Drosophila melanogaster: one gene and its partners. The protein of the gene in region 4 purifies or fractionates together with the protein of the main gene of each other region. This does not show direct contact. Each region holds a gene or a part of one and is shown on either strand. Other genes may lie near its edges.

Region 1 (4,206 bases), on a different chromosome or scaffold from region 4:
AGAAGGAGAGCCGGGCAGCTCCAAGGATTGTCATGGCAAGAACGCCAAGCATTCTGTGATCAAGGTTCCAATCGGGACGGTGATCAGGAATGCGCAAGGTCAAATTGTCGGGGATCTGGGACAAGCGGATCTTATGTTTGTGGCCGCTCGAGGAGGAGCCGGTGGCAAGGGCAACCGTTTCTTTACCACGGACAAGGAAACAAGTCCCAAGGTCAGCGAATACGGTCCTAGGGGTGAAGATCTATCATACACTCTGGAACTGCGCAGCATGGCGGATGTGGGTTTGATTGGTTACCCCAATGCTGGCAAAAGCACCCTACTGAATGCACTGACACGGGCCAAGCCAAAGGTTGCTCCCTACGCCTTCACCACGCTGCGTCCGCACTTGGGAACCGTCCAGTACGATGATCATGTCCAGCTCACCATTGCCGATCTTCCCGGACTCGTGCCCGATGCTCATCGCAATAAGGGCTTGGGCATACAGTTCCTAAAGCACGCCGAGCGTTGCACCTTGTTGCTGTTCGTGTTAGATGCCAGTGCACCGGAGCCATGGACGCACTATGAGCAGCTAATGCACGAACTCCGCCAGTTTGGCGGACGTCTGGCGAGTCGCCCGCAATTGGTGGTGGCCAATAAGCTGGACGTGGAAGAGGGCCAAAACAACTTTGAGGAACTGCAACGTCGCCTGCAAAATCCCGTGCTCGGCATTAGTGCCAAAATGGGTCATAATCTTGGACAACTCCTGAACAGCATACGTAGAGGATACGACCGCCACAAGGACCAGCCCCAGGAATCCAGTTAGAGGCCTCTGTTTATGTTATGTTGATTTATTATTTATAAATTAAATTGTAATCTTATAAGCTAAGCAAGCGGGAATCATTGCCTACAAGCCCTCCTCGGATGTGGGCAGCCAAAAAGCCATGTTGGTGCACGCGGACGCCAGCATCATGTATTTTGGATTGAACTGAACGCATTGCACCGGTCCCGGATGGTCACCATTCAGTACGGACACCTTATTGCCAGTGTCGGCATTCCAGATGTGCACTCGTCCATCGGTGCTGCCTGAAAAGATGAACTGCGAGTCTGGGCTGAAGCTTGCCTCGATGGGAATGCCCTTGTTGTTTGGATAGCCCGTGAACGTTTGTAGCGGAGTGCCGTGGAAGGCATCTACGAGCCGGATGACCGATCCATTCGTGCTGATCAGAATTGTTTTGCCGTCACGGGAGAACTTAAGGCCAGTCCAGTCGCATTCCTTCTCCTGATTAAGTTTAAATGTGACGAAGGGGCCTTTGTCGAAAGAGCGAAGGTCGTACAATTTAATGCTTTCCGAGTTAACGCCAGCGGCGAAGATCAAGCCCTCGGGATCGTAGGCAGCAATGGGTCGTCCAGAGAGATGCATCAGTCCCTGGCAGTTGGGCGAGCGCAAGTCCCACAGGCGCAGCGTCTTGTCCAGCGAGCCGGAGAGAAAGGTGTCCTCCACCGGCGAAATGCACAGCGAGATAACCTTCTTGGTGTGGCCGGGGAAGTAGCGCAGATATTTGTTGTCGTGCAGGCTGAGATAGCGTATGGTGTCGTCCACCTTGGTGGAGCTATGGATGGCCGTGTTGTTGGCGTGCGTAAAGTGGATTAAATCCACTCCATACTTCTTCGAGTTCACCGTGCGCGACTGCGTCCCCTTTTCGCAGTCGTAGATCACGATCTGGTCATCCTCGCTGCAGGATATTAGATGTTCGCCGTTGGGCGCAAAATCGATGGCGTTGATCTTGTCCGTGTTCTCTCGGAAGATCTTGGCCACCTTAAAACTGCGCACCACCGAATCTATTAGTTTTATCTTCATTTTAGCCTGTCGAATTTCGTTTTGTTGTCAATATGCTCAATTGTTGCAAACAATGTTATCGGTGGCAGAGGTTGACGGGTCGATAGCTGTGTTATCGATATCGCAACTTTCGAACTGGTTCCGGAATGAATTGCAAGAGCGGAACCAGCAACCAGATTTAAATTATTTGAAAGTTCAAAAAATCCATTCAAAAAAAGTAATTAATAAAACTCATTTAAAACCCCAAATAGTGCAATAATAATGTATAAATACCCCAAAGTAATGCAAAGTTTTTTTCAACAACAAAATTTAAGTATATTTTTCTCGTAAATCAAAATGTGGTGTAAGGCGTCATAGAAACAACAATATTAATATAGCTACATTTCATAATGTACACAGTGCAATTGTAGATGGTCTTATTAATTCGTTTTCTCCGACGGGCAGTCACAGGTGATGCTGTGGGTATTTCCCAGCAGATCCTTGGGGTCAACGTAGACAGTGCCCTCCTTGCCTCGAGCAAAAGGTGTATGTCCGTTGGTTTGTAAGTAAAAGTCGCCATGAATTCTGAAAATCACAATTTCAAATGATGAAACTAAATTCTGCGCTATGCATATAAGGCAAGTAGAAACTTACGTCGTGGGACAATGATGACCCATCACCACGGGCGGGCAATTCTCTACTATTTTGTTCTGCTTGAAGTCCGACCATTTCTTGGCGGGCACAGCATCGAATCCAATGGGATATCGATCCGAAACGCTCTCGGCCCAGAACCACCAGCTCCTCCGATGACTGGACAGATCGTTGTCGCTGAGCATCTTGTAGTTTCGCTTGGGACAGCCAGGCTGCAGGCTGTATCCACCATTTGGCCAGAAATCCGCCGTGCCCGTGCTCGTCGGAGCTCCGTACAGCCAGGCGTCCGTGTGTATCACGTCGACGAACTCCGCATCATTGGCAGACAGGTGCGTGCCCGGATAGAAGAGCGGAAATGCGGGATCCAAAGCGGAAATTCTATAAAAGAAGATTGGAGATAAGTGAGACAAGAAAAGGATTCAATATAAACTTTATAAACTTTGCCGAACAACGATTCTAAAAAAAAACTTTTTGTATTACCATATGGTAATACAAAAGTGTTAAGCTTTGGACATTAAAATTATTAACTAAATATCGTATATTAAACATCGTATATCATGACGTCGGCATAGACTAAAATCGAACCGAGCATGAATAAATAATTTGAAATCAAACCTCTTTCATTTTACCTTTTTATCTTTCTGACACCCTTGGTGCGTTTAGTAATCTCTCGGCCGAGGAGTCCGGCCAGCTGGCCGCCCATCGAGTGTCCGACAATGTGGAACTTCTCAATGTCCAGGCCATGGTCGAACATTTTGAGCAGGACCTTGGCCAACTCTGGGCCCAGCTGTTTGAGGTTCGGGAAGGCATCGAACATGTAATTGCCATCGGCCAGTTCACCCCAGTCTAGGACGATAAGATTGGTATCCTTTCGCTCCAGATAGGCCTCGGCTATGACGTGAATGCTCTCCACATCCGGATCTTCCAAGTAGCCGTGCAAATAGAGCACGGTGTTCTTGCCCAAATCCAAGTGCTCGTCCTCCAGAAGACTCTGGAAATCGGTTAGGTCATAGATATCGCTATCTGCCACCGTGGGTCTGTGAATAAAAGATAATGCTATAGGTGAATACTTGAATATATTTAAGAAATTTGGATATTAGTGCAATAACATGGCTTTATGTATAATTTTTCTTCATATTTACTAATAATAATATTAGTTCTTACCCATAATATAGTATAAACTTGGCTGTCGTTAGATCCGCCTTGGAGTTCTTGAGTCCGCAGAGGAGCCCTGGTTTAATAATTATCCAAATTGTATTAGCGGAATTTTCCATTTTCGCACACTTACTTACTGGATTTGTTTTTAATGGCCTTGTGCATGTTTCTGTGGGCTGTCGGCTATTAGTCCATAAAGTGATTGATTACGTGGCCAGTGGATTGTCCGGATATCCTCTGGTCCCATGCGGTGATTGGCAAAGACTGGGCCGGGCACTCGGTTGGCCGGATTAATGTGGCGTGGCCTAAACCCCCATTGAAATTGATAACTCTAATTAAATTTCAATCTTTTTCGGATAAGATAGTAATGGTGAGTTCGGCCAAAAAAAGCCTTGCGACATCGTAAGCATCGTGATTCACACGAGTGTGCCGCCCCAACGGCGGCAAAGTCCGTGTGGGAGTCCAAGCCTTTGCCTGTCCATGCATCATTCATGTGCTCCTACGGTGGAACATCCGATTTCGGAACATTCCAAATCTCCGCATTATTATTCATCCACTTCTATCGGCTGAACAAGTTTAATCGAACGCTAATCCCATTATGCACT
Region 2 (3,892 bases), 6.0 Mb from region 4:
CTCTTGAGGAGCCGGAGGAGGCGAAAAAAGCACGTAGAGTACAAAAGGCCAACAGATATGTAAATACGCCCGGCAAACGCAGTAAATAAGCATTAGGACCTACGCATATACACTTTACATATTTTTTACCACTTATTTACATATAAAGCGTGCATGCCGTCGTTCACCTGACCCCACGGATGTGGATTAGGGAACGAGGCATGCGCCGTAGTGTTAACGGAGGAATCAAATTAATATTATATACACATATATCTATTAATATCAAATGCAATAGGCATTTCGAATATTATTCATTATTATTATTATTATTATCACGTACAACAAGTGTCTGTATGTTCTTCGGTTTTAACGCCCCGCAAAAACAAATTGTAGTTAACCACGAACATCACACGAATCCGGCAGTCATTGGCAGAGCAAAACAGATAATAATAATTAAAAAGCAAATTAATTTTAACTAAGAAATACAAAAAGAAAAACAGCAAAGAAATATTTTAAATAAAACTTTAAAACCATTAAAATCAACTGCTACGAATGTGGTTTTTAGTATACTAATTTTAATTGCGGAACGAGAATTGATGTTCTGTGGACTTTGTCGCGACAGAAACTTCTAGAACAAAATGTGGAAAGTGACACCTAGAGATAAGATAATTTTATTTACAAGATTAAAGATGGAAACAAGTTTACAGCTTTTGTGAGCGCTCCTTGCCAGCCAGTGGCTTATTGCGTTCATCCCAAAGTGTGACCCCATCACATGCACAGATTCTCTTAAAGTTTTCCAAGATGCCCGCCGAACGAGCAATTATACCACACGCAATCCTAGTGGGAAAGGAGTTATACAAATCAATGATCAATCTGAAAGTGGGGCATATTTACATACCTTTCCCCAGAGTTGCCGTCAATCAGGCTCTGATCATTGCCCCCGCGTCCCAGGTCATCGGCATTGGCTGTTAGGACGACAGCCCTTCCGATTATGTCCCAGACCTCTAGCACTGGATCCACAAATCTAAAGGTGGCCCTGCCGTTTTCATCCGCTCGGATGTTGCCAAGATCTCCGGCGTGCCGCTCCTCTGCCCCAGCTGCAGGGCTTCCATGTGGCGACTGGCGGGGATTGTAGTGTTCTCCGACCGACGAGCAACCTGCGGAAGTGTCACCACTCTCGTGAATATGTAATCCGTGCAGTCCAGGCGATAGACCGTCCACAACGCCATCCACAACCACTCCAGGCTTCTTGTCTGCGGTAATGGTGGTAAACCGAACCACTCCCTGGATTGGTGTCTTGTCCACTACACTTCCTGTTGTGTTTATAAGGGCCACCGCCGACTGGCCGCCGAATCCGGAGAGTACGGCCCGGACACCTGTGGCTTCTATCTTGTCCTGAATCTCTGACCAAGGTCGTTGGGTTTGGATTATCACTCGACCTTCCTGGGTGTCAATTTCCACCTGGCCGACCCCATCCAGCGCCGAACGGAGGGCACCGGCATAGGATTCGTCACCTCTTCGCATCTGCACTGCAAATTCGATCTGCACATTAACATGGAAGCAAGTTTCCTGACCCGAATAACATATACTTACCTTAATGGAGCTCATTTTTATGGTCAAAGTGCCGACTAACAATGATAAACAAACTTTGGTATCGATGGCCGTCGATAGGTTCAGACAAATCGCGCCTTCTGTCATCGAAGAACGATAGGTTCACACGGAACGAAAGTTTAAGGCGTTTGTAAACCACTTATCCAATAAATTATAACGTTGAACTGATATTACTAGTTACGTATTAGAACACAGATGTAATATTTTTATCGTAGAACGTTTTACATTTACAAAACCAAAGTTACTAGCTTCGGTTTTGAACTTTTGCATAAATTGCGTGCTTTTTGATGAAGAAAATGAATTCTGGTATTTCTATTTAAGTCACTCCATATTTCCAAAATGACTATATTAATAATATTTGTGATGTTTGAAATTTATATAGATTACAACTATATTTTAAGTGAATAGATTAAAGCTTAATTTAATAGGGCTAAGTACCTTGGATATAATCATTGGTTTTCTGTTTAGTTTGACCAACAATTTTATAATCTTAAGCTGACTTTGTCCAACTCTTCTGGACCGATTCAAAACGCTAACCCCGAACTAGCTTAGATGCTAACTTATTTAATTTCCGTGCTAATTTTCAGACCTGTAGCTCCATTCACTTCATATTACGTTTTATAATTTTGGCTTAACTTTTCTTTATGGCCGCCGACAGTTTTAATCAATGGCCATAAAGAGTATTTTTAAGCCAAATGATGCTAATTTTTTGGAATTGATAGCGCTAATTTTTGTCTACAAAAACCGCAAGCGACAGATGCTGGCTTATTGAGGCCCAAAAAAAAAACGTGCAACCAATATGAATGAAGCTTTTCCATGCGCGCCACTTTATTGCAGCCAATTGCGCCTTGACTTTCATTGTGCAAAATAAATTAATTTCACTTGGACCCCGTTATTGATAGCAATTTAAAAACAATTGAGAAATATTTAATATTGCCTTCAATTGAAGAACTGTAAAAGGAAGCACTACAACAAAGAATTATGATAAAACCGTTCAATTCCCAAAAATTTGGCGAGTCGGCACATGGCTTTGTCAATTAAGGCCTTTCTTAGCACGTCGATCTAGGGATAGAGATGAATGATATCGGTGGATAACAATTAGTCGCTATTAGAGTACCGTTACTAGACCTTAAGTTCAACACTAGGAATGTAAGAAATTTAGTTTCTTTCCCAATGGTTATGTGGCTATTCACATTAGTAATATTATTTAATGTTTGTATTAACTTATATATAAGTTGAGTTAGTTCCGCAGATCCGTAATAATTTTTACAAGTCTGAGATGGTCCACCCTAACGACAGATCGACGCCATACGCCCTGAGCCACTCTGAAGAGAAGAACGCCCACACAAAAAGGCAATGTTCTCTTTGGGGCAGCGACTAATGGCAACAGCTGTTCTTGTTGATAAATAGCATAAAGATTTTTGTCGCCTTGTTTTGTGAGAGAGCAACAAATGCAAGTCAGCCTCTGAAACAATCACCTGGAAGGATACGTGTGTCGGGAATGTAGATAGATAAGTTGGTCTGGATAGTGCGTGCCACGGAAAATTAGCCTTGCCTTTGTTTCACTTGCATTCCACAAAGACGCACGCACACACACACGTGCACAGAATGACCCTTACAGTGGGGCTTTGGTATTGGTATTTGTATTTGCGGGTCGAACGCCACGCTCTTTTGGAGCGAGAGTGAGAGAGCGAAGAGAGAGAGAAACATAACGGGCTAGTGTATTTATTTTAATATTAGCTTTGTGACGTTCGCTCACCAAATCAGTATTTTTCGTACCATCGGCGTTAAAACACATGTTCAGCGATTTAGTGCGGGAGTGTAAACTAATCTGAGTAACAACAACAGCATCGTCGGCAAAGCAACAACAACGGCAGCAGAAAATTTTAACACGTTGACGCTTTTTCTAGTGTTTATAGCGAGCGGAAAAGCTTACTAAGCGCGTAACAAGCGAGACCCCGAAATCTTTTTTCATCTCGGTCTTTTCGCCTTTGCGTCTTTGAGTGTGCGTGCCAAAATTCAAATACGTCATCGACGCGCGCAGCCTTAAATCGAAAAGGAATGAAATAATTGATATACACAAATGCCAGCGAAAGATTGAATTCAATTGCAGGAGCAACAAATAGCCAAACAAATTGAGGAAAACAATTCCTCCAACCGCACAGCGACAACTTCAATTAATTAACTTGTTATTGTGTAGTAGCAGTCCGCTTCTTGCCATTCACCGCGAAACGCAGCCACACAAAAGAACGTGCAAAACAGCTGGGACTCGAACTGAGAGTAACGGAACGTCGAGCAACAA
Region 3 (7,353 bases), on a different chromosome or scaffold from region 4:
TTTGTTGGGGTGCAAATCCACTGGTTAAACGGTTGCTAGGCAACCTTTAGTCCAGGAACCAATTCCAAAACCAAGAAAACATAAATTCCCAGGCCGAATGCGAAATGCTTAAACCAAAACTCAAACAGCCAATTAAAAATCGATGTACAGATGTTTAGATTATTGAGAAAGTAAAATTCCAAAGAACAACTTGAACTTAATATGAAATCAAATCATGAAATTAGGAAATACACAACATTTTAAATCCCACCATCGGAAGAGGCCCAATAATAAAAGCCCAATCTTTTAATTTTTTAAATACGTATGTAATATATTTGACTAACGTATAGAATTTTAGGAGTATAACTAATGCTTCGCTTATCAAAGTACAAAAACGTTCAACTAACGCGATTAAGCTTAAACTATAAGTCAGTTTTTCCCCCTTCGCCAGGGAAGGAGAAAGAGCTGGCGTTTATAAATAGTTAGCAACGCTAACTGCTGGAAATGTTATTCTTTTTTTTCATAGTGTCAATATTGCAAATCGTAGGTGAGAGCAGTTCAGCAAAAGGCACCTTTATAGAATACCGAAACGGCGGAACTGAACAAAAATAGATTGTATTTACAATTTATGATTTGGGCCACCGCCTCACATAATGATCTGCGGTTCTGGGACACTGGCCGCAATGCTTTTATGGGGCAAGACCTGGCCTCCATTAATGTAGAGCTCATCCTTCACGATTACATCCTCGCCTAGCACGGTGATGCCTTCGATGCGAACCCAACGGCCAACTGTAGAACGCCAACCGACAATGCAGGAGTCCAGCCATGAGTGTGAGCGAACGATGGCGCCTTTGAGGATGGTCGAGCGCTTAATGCACACGCCATCCTCGATGACCACGTCCGGTCCAATGGTTACATTAGGCCCTATGCGACAACCCTCGCCGATTTTGGCCGTGGGATCCACCAACACGTTGCCCACCACTCCAGGGCCTGTGTACAGCTTGGGGGATTGCTTCTGGCGCAGCGAGCTTAGATACAGACACATGCCTGAAAAGGAATAAAATGGTGCAATAAGTAAAGCGATAAAGTCGATGTGTTCAAGCCCATTCAATAGCCTTCACTTTTAACGTTCAATGGTGACCAAAAAACATTTAAGAAACTGACTATTGCCAGTGTACTTCGCATATTTGATGAGCGTTACTTAGATCCTATGCAGTTAAGTAAGTAAGTAAGTAAGTAAGACAGCAATGTATCGTCCCAGTACATGTATTCATAAGTCGTGAATCGCATCCACATGAACCCAACAAACAATTTACTCTTCTACTTGGTTTCTCCCATCGCCCACTATCGGCCTAATGAGCCTCACTTCATTTAAAAAGAAATCGTTCTATCAAACATTAGCTATAGTTCCAGGAATGTCAATAATAGATAAAGCCGAAAGCCGGGTGGGTAAAAAGGCACAGCACAATTAACAACGACATCCACATTTGCTTTCAAAGCGATAAGACCAATTAGGCAATCAAGATTGAGCGAGCAAACGAGTGATTCTGTCTGTCGTACCGGTTAGGAAGTCTTTTGGCTGTCCGATGTCCATCCAGAATCCAGTTAAATCCATTGCATACAACTCCTGTTGCTGCGTCATTTCAGGGAACACCTCCTTCTCTATTGATGTGGGCTTAACTTCGATCCGGTCAAGCACGGAGGGATTAAAGATGTAAATGCCGGCATTGATCTTATTGCTAACGAACTCTTGTGGCTTTTCAATAAAGTTTTTTATACAGCCGTTCTCATCGTACAGCACAACTCCGTATTTGGATGGTTCTTCGACCTTTGTGACAACAATTGTGCCTTCTTTTCCGTGATTACAATGGAATTGCACTAGTTGTTTAAATGGAAAATCGCATATAACGTCCGAATTGAGCACGAAAAATGGCTCTGAGCTGGCTGCTAAAATCGTTTTTGCTAGGGCCAGAGGTCCAGCTGTTCCCAGGGGTTCCGTCTCGTGTGAGAAGATCAATTCCACGCCCAGTTTCTTGGCTTCGACTTTAAGCTCCTTTTCCATTTGCTCGGCTCGATAGCTGACGGCTAAAATAACCTGCGAGAAAGAAGTATGCATTATTTTAGAAATATAAAACAAAAGAATAATCTCTTTTAGAGGAAGTTGATTTGATTCTTAGCGTGTTATGTAACCGTCTTCCCTAAATTTGGCAACGGCAACCAATATGGAACAAGATCAACTGTTTTCTAAACATCCAAAGGTGTTTAAAAAACCTTGTTTTAAGAATGATGTGCCATATTTCCATTCTCCTAAGCAATGGGGCAGTTTGGGCGTCATTAGTCTAAAAAACTGGATATACCTGACGACATCCCGCATCGACGAGTGCCTCCAGTTGGTGGAGAAGAATCGGCTTATTGGCAAACTCCACCAGTGGCTTGGGCGTGCTGAGGGTCAGGGGTCGCAGCCGGGTCCCATAACCACCGACCAGAATCAACGCCCTCGTCCCGTTTCCCACAGCTGGATTTCCACACATCACTTCTCCGCTTCCGCTTCCGCCTCCTTTCCGTTCTCCGGTTTCTATAGTCCGTAAGCGAGCGACACGTCACACCTTAAAGTTCTCGAGACTTTCTCCGTACAACGAGATTCCGTTTCAGCGGTCAAACAACTGCAATCGACGAAGGCAAGTGAGTGACTCAGTTGGTTGTCTTTAGTTTATTGTTTACTCACCTTGTTGCGCTATCTATTTCCTTGTTGTTGTTTTTGGAATTGTCTTTTTTCGTGATAAGAACCTTTGTGCTTCTGGTTGGATGCACTTGCCTGTCCCAAAACAATAATAGTTTCTATTAGTTTTAGATGGACGTTTTCAAGGCTTAGGAATATCGATCTTGTCATTGAACATTCAATATGGTCTTTGTGTATTTTATTATCATTTGTTTTATGAGTAAACTCGCCGCACAGGAAAGTAAATAAAAACCGAGCTGGCAAAGTTGGGATAACACTATCGGAAGATGGCGATGATTGCGCTTCGTCCCACTCGCAGCAGCGCTGATAGCCGGATTCCACCGAACATTTTACGCTAAATTAATAAAATTTATTAAAATTCATTTCTTGTTAAATTGAAGAATCTTAAAAAATACTTTTCAGTTTAATTTAAATTAAATAACCTATCTAAAGACCACAATCAGGCATGTTCCGGTAATAGTAATATTTTTTCGATTACGATTTGGCAAAATCTTTCGACTTCGTTTTTAGGTGCTCGGGTTTTCGCGGAATTTTTGCGATCGGAATGTTTTGTAAACAGGAAACAGATGTCTAAGCTGTATTCCAGACAATGGAGCGACCAATTTTTTCACAGTTTTAGTTCCGATGTTCGCACTGCACTTTGTCCATTTAAGTAATTAAATTAAATAGTATTATTTACGAACAGTACTTTCGACCCTCCTTTAAATTAATTACGAATTTTTTTTCATTACATCTTATATGCATTTATACTGTTTATACTGTATTGTTTCACCAATAGTATAGCAGTCTTCCTGATAGCTTTTGTCGACATAATTATGAACACTTGCCAAATCGAAACTTTTTGTTGCCAACTGCAAAATTTTGTTTGTCAAATTTCAGGTGGGGTCAGAAATTACTTTTGTTTAATATAACTAAGTCTAAAAATGATCTTATGGTGATGTGGAACATAAACATCAATTAATAAATATCAATAGACCAGCAAACTATTTTTTCCCCTTAGTTAATAAGATCTGATTTGATATAAAAAAGGCATTTACTTTTTAAAAGGCCGTTTTACAAATTAAAATTTTCTTACGAATTCGATTACCGGAGCATTCCCGAATAATATTGTAGAGAGCAAAACGGGTTGATGGTTTCTAAGGTTTCAACGGCATTACTGTTTTGACTATTCCCTACATTTCAAAATATATCAAAAAGAAAATCCTAAAATGTACAGTAGAAATTCAGCTTTTTATAGCTTACTTAAAAGTTTCGCAATACTTATTCTTGAAAACGCAACTCAATGTAAGTTTATGTATAAAGTATACTTCTGTATACATTAATACAATTATAATTGTAATTAATTAAATCACTATAATTATAATTACCATGCATATCGCCTACAAACCAAATGCGGTCTGCGGCGAAGGTAACGGAAGGCCCCAAATGCATCGTTCACATTCAAATAAACAAAGCATTCCCCATCGGTATCGTTATCGGTTTTCGATGTCGATAGTCGTTCGTAGCAAGACGCGGTCTCACTGGTGCACATTGTTTTCCGTCGCGTGTGAAAATTGCTGAGTGTATAAAAACTGTGCATACTTAGAGAAAACTTCTGCATTTGGTTGAAAGGTAAGTGCGACTGCTGCGGACGCCATGGAGACCAAAAAGCTTTGCAAAGGCGAGCCTATGGCGATACGAAGAAGTAATTTGACCACTGATTTTATGGGGCTCCGAGCTCAGACGAGATACACATACGCACACATACACACGCTTACGTTTCAAATAGGCACCAGCGAGACGGAAAACAAAATGTCGACCGAATTGTATTTTCCTCTATTACTTTTTCCCACCGATTTGTGAAGGTTTATGCCTTTCGAAGGCTCGGAAAAGTGTGGTAAATTTGTGCTTTCCCAATTAGAAGTTTTTGATTGAGTGACATCTGGGTTTAAGTGCACTTTTTTCTGAGGGCAATCTCCAATATTGATTTTTACAATGGCTGCCGAGGAGTCTCATTCATTTTCCAGGAAAATGTGCACAGAAAAGCTTATACCAAAGTGCATAGGTGATTACAATTCCAAATGAATGATTTTCCAAATAGTTAGTTGATAAATTTACGAATAGAATTTTCTCGCAAATCAATTTTGATCGTCTTTCGTGTAGGTTATCCACTGATGAATACGTATGTGTGTCTTTTTATTCTATTCGAGTTGGTATTTTCTTTTATTTGATAAGGGGTGGGTGGGGGTCGAGCGCATCTTGTTTAGTTTTACTTTCTCTTTTATTTATGCTGCAAACTTCAGCGGGTGGTGCTCCATCCATGCTAGCATGTATGTATGTATTTAGAGTGAGTGTGTGTGAGTTAGTGAGTGAGACTGCAAGGCAATCACGTTTCTTATTCTCAGCATATTTATTTTCTGATCAATTTTTGGCCTCTTTTCAGCACTTTAATATTCTTTCCTCCCCTCTCCAGCATTTGTTTGAATTTTAATATTTAATTGTTAACGTACATATGTACATAGATACATACGTTTAGATACGTTTCAATGACGCGAGGGTTTCAGCAAGAAAGCAGATACATATATATACATATTTGTGTAGCCATTATTTTTTTTCGCTTCTTTGTGAAATTCGCTATGCTGCTGTGACGTCATAGGTCAATTTTTAAAGAGAAAAAATAAACAGCTGATTGCCAAATAGGCAGCACTGTCGTGCGAGCTAGAGTTGCCCTTCCTAAAAGGCCTACTAAATGTCATAAAATAGCCCTCATTGCACTGAACAAAACTCAACCCGGAGAACTCAGTGACGTACTTTTTCTGAATTTTAGGGATTATTACATCAGTTTTTGTATGCTTCCTTCATTCCTGATGCCATAGTATTACTAGCTTTGTCAACTTATACAGCAACTCAAACAACCCATGTGTATGGAAAGAACAAAATATGGTAAGTACCAGTTCATTTCTGAAAGAACTCTTAAAAGCAAATGGAAAATCGCTGAGGTACTGCCAAATTTCTTGTTATCCACTAACCACTCTGCCACGCATAAACGTTTGAGCTCATTTTCATTATCAATAACCTTGAAGGTTGATTGAACTGCGAAAGGAAATATTTTGACCCCCTAGACGGGATATAATTTGATTTCCGCCCCCGGAGCCCCCTGGCAACACCCTCCCCGCCCCGGGAGCCAACCCTGGAGCCGCCCCTACACTTGAGCCGTACAAATCCTGTCTGTCGTTTGATGACTTTGTGTGCAAGGAGAACGAGGCAGTCTTTGTATCTGACTGCGTGCTTCATTTCGTCGAGCTCCGTTTCGTTTAGCCTGCTCTCTGCTCACCGCTTCGCCCACCAACAAAAATACAAATAAATAAATGAAAAGAAGAGCCAAAACACAACTCGGAACTCGCTCTGCGCTTTGTTTGCCTGGCTCTTCTTTCCCTTCCCCCTCCCTCTTCCGTTTTCATCATTCGCCGTGTGTATGTGCGATGGACGAGCGAGTGTGCTGTGTGTGTGGGTTCGCTGGCGCCCGTGTGTGTGTGCGCCTTTGTACATTGAACTCAAAAATTCGAACTCGAGAAGAAAAGAAAAGAGTGAGAACGAGTGGAGACCAAGTCGGATAACCGACCCATCCCCTCCCTCTGGTGCCGTAGTCCACACACCTCATTAACCACCCGAAAAGGGGTCCCGAAGTCGTCTCGTATTCGTCGTCTTCATCCCAACTTAGAACCCTTTGATCAGGTTGCTTCGTCTGCTGACCCAGATGACGTCCATCCCAGATCCAAGACTTACCTAAAATGTTAAGTGAGTGGGACGTAAATGACTCCGATCAAAAAATAAATAATCCGTGTAATTCCTAAGAATGAAATATTACGAGAATGGCAAAACAGTTTATTCGAAATATCAACTGACTGATTGGGTCGTCTCAAATAGGATTAGTGCTAACAAATGGCATTTAATGCAATTCCTCTGAATTAGGGTGTACTATAAACTGTTGAACATCTGAAATATTGAGCTTGGGTTAGCTCTTTTTCCCCTGTTCCATACAAATCGATTTTTATAATAAATCAAAATATTGCAATGACCATTATGCATTGTTGCATTTTTAACAATTGCGAATTCTACAGTTATTGGATAGCCCAGATTTCAGTCTCAGCGCTATGGTTATATGGAAAATGAAAACTATTTTGTATAATATTTGAGATTTAGCGAACGGCAACCCTAAGGGAACGCTGCGTAGATTTGGATGCCTTTTTAGTTTTTGGTTGCCCGGCTTGACTCTGTTTTTTGTTCTTTTTTCTCCCTTTATTTCCTGATCATTACGATCCTGCTCTGATCTTGTACAGTTCTTTGCTGACAAGATGAAGTTCCGCGCACTGATGCAGGATCCGCTGTACATGAAAGAGTTCCAGGCCATTGTGGCCACTTTAACCAAGCTGGCGAAAGATTGTGTGATGATTCTGGGCTCTCGGCAGATGCATTTTATCGTGAACGAGGATCAGAGCTCCGCTGCATCGCCCTTGGTTTGGGCAGGAATTACAGCTGAGGAGTATTTTCCGGAGTATCGCATGGAGGCTGCTCACCCGGATCAGGAGTACATAGTTCTAGGCGTGTCTTCGGCGAATCTCGGAAGAGCTTTATCTGTGCTTCGTGGTGGAGGC
Region 4 (6,607 bases):
TCTTGCGCTCGTCCCGCTTGATCTCCTCGCCACACCCGTGCACCTCTGGCAGTCCGTGCTTGAAGCAGAATCTCTTCTTGCAATGCTGGCAGTCTTGGCCCATCAGGCTGGTTTTGGTCTTGCAGCGCGGATAGTCGCAGAGGTTATCCACTTCCTTGACGGCTGTCAGCACATCGTCCAGCTTGAGATCCACCACCTGGCTGGGAATCCGCTCCAGTAGCTCCAATGTGTTGTTTGTCCCATAGTCAACTCTTTTTCCTGGTTTTGCGGGCGGGAACAGCGGAGCATCTTCAGTTTTCGACGAGGTAGAGGGCTTGTTTGGATCGTCTGCAGAAAATCATTTCATTAATGACCAAAACTTAAACATTTCTTGAGACAATTCGCACCTGCCATTGAAAAATATCTAAAATTCGACTAATATTTATGATGTTTTGCTAATTTCGTTAAATTTACATTTCAAGCCTAGAGGTGAAAGTTGCAAGACGTAAACAGCTGACTGTTAATCGATAGATCGATTGACGTCAAGCAGTGCATGCAGATGAATGTTATTTTCAAAAGTTTATTTTTTAATCATTTAGGTACTTAATTTAAAAATGTTTCTAAGCTATTTAAAGTATGTTGTAGTGTTATGGAAAATATATAAGAATACAACTGGCTAACTTTAAAAACATGTTTTCAATGTCAATTATTTTCCCACTTCAATACGATCCACAAAAAGAATTACACACCCACCAAAGATTAAATACTTCAGTAATGATATTGTCGATTTATTTAGTTACTACACACAGGTCAATAAACGTTGTAAGCTTAAATTATTTAACCAATCTTCGACGGCTTTCAATAGTGCGTAATTTTTGTAAAGTTTTTACTTTAATGTGGAACATTCGTTTCCGGTGTATAATATGTGTATATCCATCTAAAAGCCGCGTATAAACGTTTAGTAATTGCAATTGTTGTTGGTTTGATTTAAATGCCAATGGTGCAGACATCTGTGATCCAGCTTTGGGATTTCTAAATCGCATGCCCAATATATGTACATAGCTAGTCGTTGTACGTATCTATCCAATGGTGCGATCCAATGGTACGATTACAATTTGTTTTCGCAAGGACATGATGCACTTTCTCCTGATCCGGTGACAGCGGCATGGATCGCCTTGGCCACATATTCAACGTTGCCCTTATTCAGGCCACTCATGCTGATGCGTCCCGTCTTCAGCAGGTAAATGTGGTACTGGTCGATCAGCACACGAACATGGCTCTCGTTCAGACCGGTGTAGGAGAACATGCCGATCTGGTTGACAATGTGATCCCAGGTGCCGGGGGTGCCCAAGGCAACCAGCTTGTCCCGCAAAGCTGTACGCATCTCGCGGATGCGGCTCGACATTGCCTGGATGGAGGCCATCCACTCCTTGCGCAACTCCGGTGTGTTTAGGACTTTGGAAACGATGCGAGCTCCATACGCGGGCGGATTCGAGTACTGTCCACGAATGAGCAGCGTCAGCTGAGAGTGAACCGCTGCCTTGGTAGCACCATTCTTTTGCACCACAGCCAGATTGCCGGTACGTTCGCAGTAGAGGCCAAAGTTCTTGGCGAACGACTGGCAGATGAAGAGCTCGAAGCCACGCTGCACGAAGTACCTAGCGGCCCAGGCATCGCGATCGGGATCACCACTGGCAAAGCCCTGGTAAGCCGAGTCGAACAGCGGGAACAACTTCTTCTTCTCCATCAGATCGGCCAGCTCAGTCCACTGCTCCTGGGTGGGATCAATGCCGGTGGGATTGTGGGCACAGGCGTGCAGAATGATCACAGCACCGGGCGGAGCATCGTTCAGATCGGCCAGCATGTTCTTGAAGTCCAACTCGCGTTTATTTTGGTCCCAGTAGCGGTACGATTTAACGGTCGTAAAGCCGGCATCGCAAAAGATCTTGTGGTGATTCTCCCAGGTGGGGTTCGAGTAGTAAACCACATTGCGATTCAGTTGTGTGTGCAGGAAATCGGCGGCAACGCGCAGGGCACCCGTGCCCGAAATGGTCTGCACTCCAAAGGCCTACAAGAAAATTGCAGTCTAATAAAAGAGTACATATTTTTAGGTTGAGCCCCAACTTACGCGATTCTCCTTGATGGCTGGGGAATCGGCACCCAGAACCAATTCAGTGGCCGCATTGGTGAATGTTTCGAGTCCTGCAAAACAGAATCATTGGGTTAATTAAATTACTTTGATGAAATGCATTGCATTTACTCACCAGTCACTGGCAAATACTCGTGGTTAACCTGCTCATCGCTGGCAATGCTGATTTCCGTCTTGCGCACCACAGGCAAAACCCAAGGAACTCCAGCATCTGTCCTGTAAGCTGTGAATGAACGAAACCAAAGATCAAATGAGTAAACCAATTTATTCGAAGTCCACTGATTGCTCAAGTGTTTAGGGAAATACATGGGTCAAAGTGCTAAAATCCGTACAATATTCAAGTCTTATCTGAATGCTCTTAACAAGCCTAATCAATCCTCATTGCTATAGGCCATTTGATATTGTTTTCATGCGTTGTTTCTAGGCCAATTTATTTATTTATTGGAGCAACTGAAAAGCACTGGCGTCGTGTTATACGAAACCAATTGAATGAATTGGTCTGGTAATGTTTATACTTTTGCAGCATTGTAAATAAAAGCGAAGGCGCGATAAACAAGCCATAACGACAATAAATTGACGGAAATGAGAAGAATGAATAATTAAGCTCATTAAAACATCCATTTGCTTGAGTTAATATGGTAATAAAATACCATGATTCGATATAAGTTTAGTTTAAAGATACCTTTTGTAAATCAGCTGATTTTGGCATTGAATATACATATTTATTAATTCTAATGCTATTAAAACCAAAATACGTCGAATAAATTGGCATAATCATTTACACGAGCAAGGGTTAATGACTCTTGGCTTTGCGAGCAAAACAAAAATACAATAATCGGCGACTCTGCTGGTGGGAATTGTTATTTAAATTATGCAATAACATTCATAAATATAGAAAAGGTGAAGCAAAATTGCTCTTGAACGACCCGGCGGCAATATTGTTGTTGTCGTTCCTTCAAATTTTCGCTGGCTGAATGTATTGTATTGGAGGAAATGGATGGACGTGGTGTACCTGCCAAAAACAAGTGGCTTATCATCATCCGCCACACAAAAACATACATAGGCAATAAATAAATACGGTGTTAGCTGACGTCAGAGGAAAATATAGAACAAAGAAAGTCGCAAAAGAAATTCACTACTAAAAAAAATTAGATTGATATTTACAATCGGAGCTTTAAAATACTACGTTTTGAGCTGCTAATTTAAGCAAACATTGAGTTTAAATATTATTGAGAAGCTGAAACAAAATGGAATAAGCAAAATATGTAACTAAGTAATTAAGAAATAGGTTGTAATATTTAACCATATAGAGTATTTGAAATTGTTTACACACACACAAAATCCACAATTGGTTATAAGCCAACTAATTGGAAAGCAAGAAGGATGGAAAAATCTGTGCAATTCATACATTGCGACATTGACATCCAAATGACCTCCAGCAGAGTGGCCTGTTGGGTGGCAAACGGAAACGGGCGTTCCAGCGGTGCGGGGGGTGGCGAATTGCAAGGGCAAGCCAACTAGCAAATGATAGCAAATTGAGCCGCACACAAATACAGCCGGCTAAGTAATACACATATACTTTTTATAAACATATGCACATACATAGGTATGCACTTCATTCTGTTAGAGGAGGGGGGTGGGGTGAGAAAATAGAACTTTAGAACTTACCGCCCACCGACAAATTGACCTTGTTGGGATTGCTGTCGTCCTTGAAGGCCTGCGTCAGGGCGAAGACCTCGATGGCGGGTCCTTTTGGAACGTCGGCGTAGATGGACATCGTGGATAGCTTGGGAAACAAGTCCAAACGGAGCGACAATAACAAATAAATTAATTTGGAATAGTGTCGGCAAAGACGGCCAAAAGTAGTGTGGCTGCACTTGTCTAAATCAAATTGGCCCACAAAAGCTCAGTCGATGAAATTATCGATATTTATACTAAAAAATTACTGAAAAAAATTATGACACGGAAATTCGAAAAAATGTCTTCTGATTGCATGAATTTTAATTGAATTTTTATATTTTGCAGGCGTTTATGGCTAAATAAAAGGTATTTTCAGAAAAATTCGATTTTCATGTTTCGGGGCTAGTGCACTGACTTCAAAGAGCTGTTCCTACCTGGAAGTTTTGTAATAAACCGGGATAATTAAGTCGTTTTAAGATAATAAACATTTTCGCCAGTTTTGCTTGAAATTTTGAAGCAACAATCTCAGAAGGAGTAAAATAACAAATAACTCAAAACGAAAATATCAAGGCCAGTTTAAAAAAATTTTCGGTCCCAGAAAAATTAAACGCAATCGAGGAAAGTGATTTAAAATGTTTCTTTATTGCCCCGGATGATTACCTTATTTGCTAAACAATTAGTTTGGTTTATTCTTAGCCAAATATCGATGGACCAATATTTGATTGCTCGCAGTCTTTATGTCGCTTTCAATTTGCGTTCCAATTAGGCTAGCATTCGATTGAGATTCAACAAATAGAAAAGCAAACTCGAGGACTGATTGGTGTTGGTTTTGGTTCAAAATAGTTTTGCTGTAATATTCAGTAATTGCTGAGGGTGCACACATTTCTCCAATTCGTTACACAACTAACTAAGGCTATGATTAAAATTATGTTCAGTGTAAAACTAAGGCGTTATGATAAAATTGATTAAATAGACTACGCACTTATACAATGGCCCGGTGCTTATCTATATTTACAATTCATATTAAATATACATTCGTTAATATAAATATCCAAACTGCACGACCTACGCATTCGATGCCTGAGATAATCTATTTACATTATCCGATCTGAGGGAGCACTTCTTCGAATGCGAGTCCGCTTGAAACTCTTGCTAATTTTGATTTAGTCTAAAATACCAGAGCTAGACCTATCTACGACTACGTGGGTGAAGCAAGGTATCCTGGGTACCCAAGACCTTTGACGTTTACAAGTAAAATGATCTGTGTTATGTTATGACTTGGTGAGTGAGTGAGTGCCTGGGTGAGAGTTTTTGATTTTGTTTGTATATATATCTACAAATCGGTGTGGCGTGCTTGAACGTGTTGGCATGGTGGTCCTTTCCCCCATTTTCCTCCTTCCTCCGATCCCTTCCAATAGGAACATGAACATCGGGAACTTGTCCGCCCAACTGAGCAAGGTGTCCCCGTCCCCGTAAGCTTCCAGTACGATCCGATGCGGGATGTGCGTGGTGCGAGTGACCGTAAATTAAATTAAAGATGGTTTTCAGTCAGTATCAGTTCACCCGGCATGCCATCGGAGCTCTGAGTGCGCAGCATAACCTCCAGAATCGGCTGGTATTAGGCAATCTGACCGCGCTCATCCCGCTGCTGTTGCTGAGCCGTGGCATCTAAAAGGTACAATTAATACACATTCATTAGAAACTTGTTCCGCCAAGCAAAGCACACAGAAAGCCATGAAGAACAGGGTATGGATTAGGGTCAAGTAACTGAGATTAGTACAACGCAACAATGGAACGCACGCAGAACTGAACGTTTTAACGAAATTTAGAGCATTCCACCTACCGGGAACTGGGCCAAAATAAAGTAATCATTTGGTGCCGCGCACCAGAATGCATATTTCATATTTTTAGCTATCACGTGCGTTCGCGCAGCGCGATGTCAGTGCAAAGGACCAGGCAGTCCGAGTTGAAGGACTCGACGTCCTTTTGCCCGCTGGCCAAGGCGACTGACGATCGAACCGCCTGCGCTCCCTGATCGCCTGGCAATATCAAACGGAAGACAGTTGAGCCAAAGAGTGGGCAAATAAGACACCTTCTGATTAAAAAGTATCCATTGTTCTAACAATTAACTTTAAAAGAGGGGTGTAAAGTCTTCTCTATATACATTTTAGCTTAAAATCTAGTCTATAGACCTTTCTTTAAACAAATTACATTTGCTCAAACTTTTTCGGTTACTTTTTAATCAGAAAGCTAATAGATAGTTGAGAAAGGGGCATTTAGATCTGAATCCAACCCATTCAGCTTACCTTGCAGTCCTCGTGTGGCATTGTACTTGTCTTTGATGATAAAGCAGGCGGTGAATATGAAGAAAATGCCGCCCAGCACCTCCACAAAACTGGTGGAGAAGAGCGCATATTGCAGTCCCTCGAATTGCTCCACATCAGAGTACTAAAATAAGCAAAACCAGGGAGTTAGTCAGAGTGAACTCTAAGTTTAAGTGGATTCCACCTACTTCCTGAGAGGCTGACGAGCGTGCTGTTTCCATCAAACTGGTGGTGGCTTCCGCGATCACCTGGGTGGCATTACTGATCGCGGAACCTGCCACTTGGGACATGCTTCGCAGCTCGGTGGTCAGTCCAGAGTCGCTGGGGTTCTTGTGCAGGTGTTTCATGATGGCCTCGGAGATCTATCGAAATGGTGTAGTTAGTAACTACTACTGTAGTATAGAAATTCTTTTGTGTACTTACTGCTCCAACCAAATACGGACTGCCGGCATCACCGAGTGCGTGTGAGATGAGG

Evidence for each region.
Region 1: the proteins of Got1 (region 4) and Wdr82 purify together in Drosophila melanogaster (affinity purification with mass spectrometry, with the first as the bait; one large-scale study listed by BioGRID). This does not show direct contact.
Region 2: the proteins of Got1 (region 4) and Ccs purify together in Drosophila melanogaster (affinity purification with mass spectrometry, with the first as the bait; one large-scale study listed by BioGRID). This does not show direct contact.
Region 3: the proteins of Got1 (region 4) and Gmppb purify together in Drosophila melanogaster (affinity purification with mass spectrometry, with the first as the bait; one large-scale study listed by BioGRID). This does not show direct contact.

Annotation. Positions count from the first base shown.
Region 1 is NT_033779.5:8,372,158-8,376,363, reverse strand, and holds Wdr82 (WD repeat domain 82), read right to left. Parts: upstream 1,904-4,206; 5' UTR 1,838-1,903; coding exon 884-1,837; 3' UTR 815-883; downstream 1-814. Other genes in the region: CG13390 (uncharacterized protein), read left to right, coding at 1-802; CG17292 (uncharacterized protein), read right to left, coding at 2,236-2,380, 2,450-2,824, 3,076-3,483, 3,611-3,677, 3,739-3,766. UniProt on the Drosophila melanogaster protein: Component of the SET1 complex that specifically di- and trimethylates 'Lys-4' of histone H3.
Region 2 is NT_033778.4:10,120,938-10,124,829, forward strand, and holds Ccs (copper chaperone for superoxide dismutase), read right to left. Parts: upstream 1,638-3,892; 5' UTR 1,588-1,637; coding exon 1,573-1,587; intron 1,522-1,572; coding exon 878-1,521; intron 817-877; coding exon 681-816; 3' UTR 636-680; downstream 1-635. Other genes in the region: dmpd (dampened), read left to right, coding at 1-89.
Region 3 is NT_033777.3:4,808,960-4,816,312, reverse strand, and holds Gmppb (GDP-mannose pyrophosphorylase B), read right to left. Parts: upstream 4,870-7,353; 5' UTR 4,087-4,869; intron 3,054-4,086; 5' UTR 2,705-3,053; intron 2,675-2,704; exon of another isoform or gene 2,643-2,674; 5' UTR 2,511-2,642; coding exon 2,337-2,510; intron 2,075-2,336; coding exon 1,540-2,074; intron 1,027-1,539; coding exon 626-1,026; 3' UTR 501-625; downstream 1-500. Other genes in the region: Hus1-like, read left to right, coding at 7,054-7,353. UniProt on the Drosophila melanogaster protein: Catalytic subunit of the GMPPA-GMPPB mannose-1-phosphate guanylyltransferase complex. Catalyzes the formation of GDP-mannose, an essential precursor of glycan moieties of glycoproteins and glycolipids. Can catalyze the reverse reaction in vitro.
Region 4 is NT_033778.4:16,136,074-16,142,680, reverse strand, and holds Got1 (glutamate oxaloacetate transaminase 1), read right to left. Parts: upstream 4,330-6,607; 5' UTR 4,297-4,329; coding exon 4,243-4,296; intron 4,003-4,242; exon of another isoform or gene 3,915-4,002; coding exon 3,797-3,914; intron 2,352-3,796; coding exon 2,244-2,351; intron 2,182-2,243; coding exon 2,108-2,181; intron 2,048-2,107; coding exon 1,088-2,047; 3' UTR 753-1,087; downstream 1-752. Other genes in the region: CG30094 (uncharacterized protein), read right to left, coding at 1-327, 387-393; spin (spinster), read right to left, coding at 5,723-5,847, 6,115-6,256, 6,321-6,494, 6,556-6,607.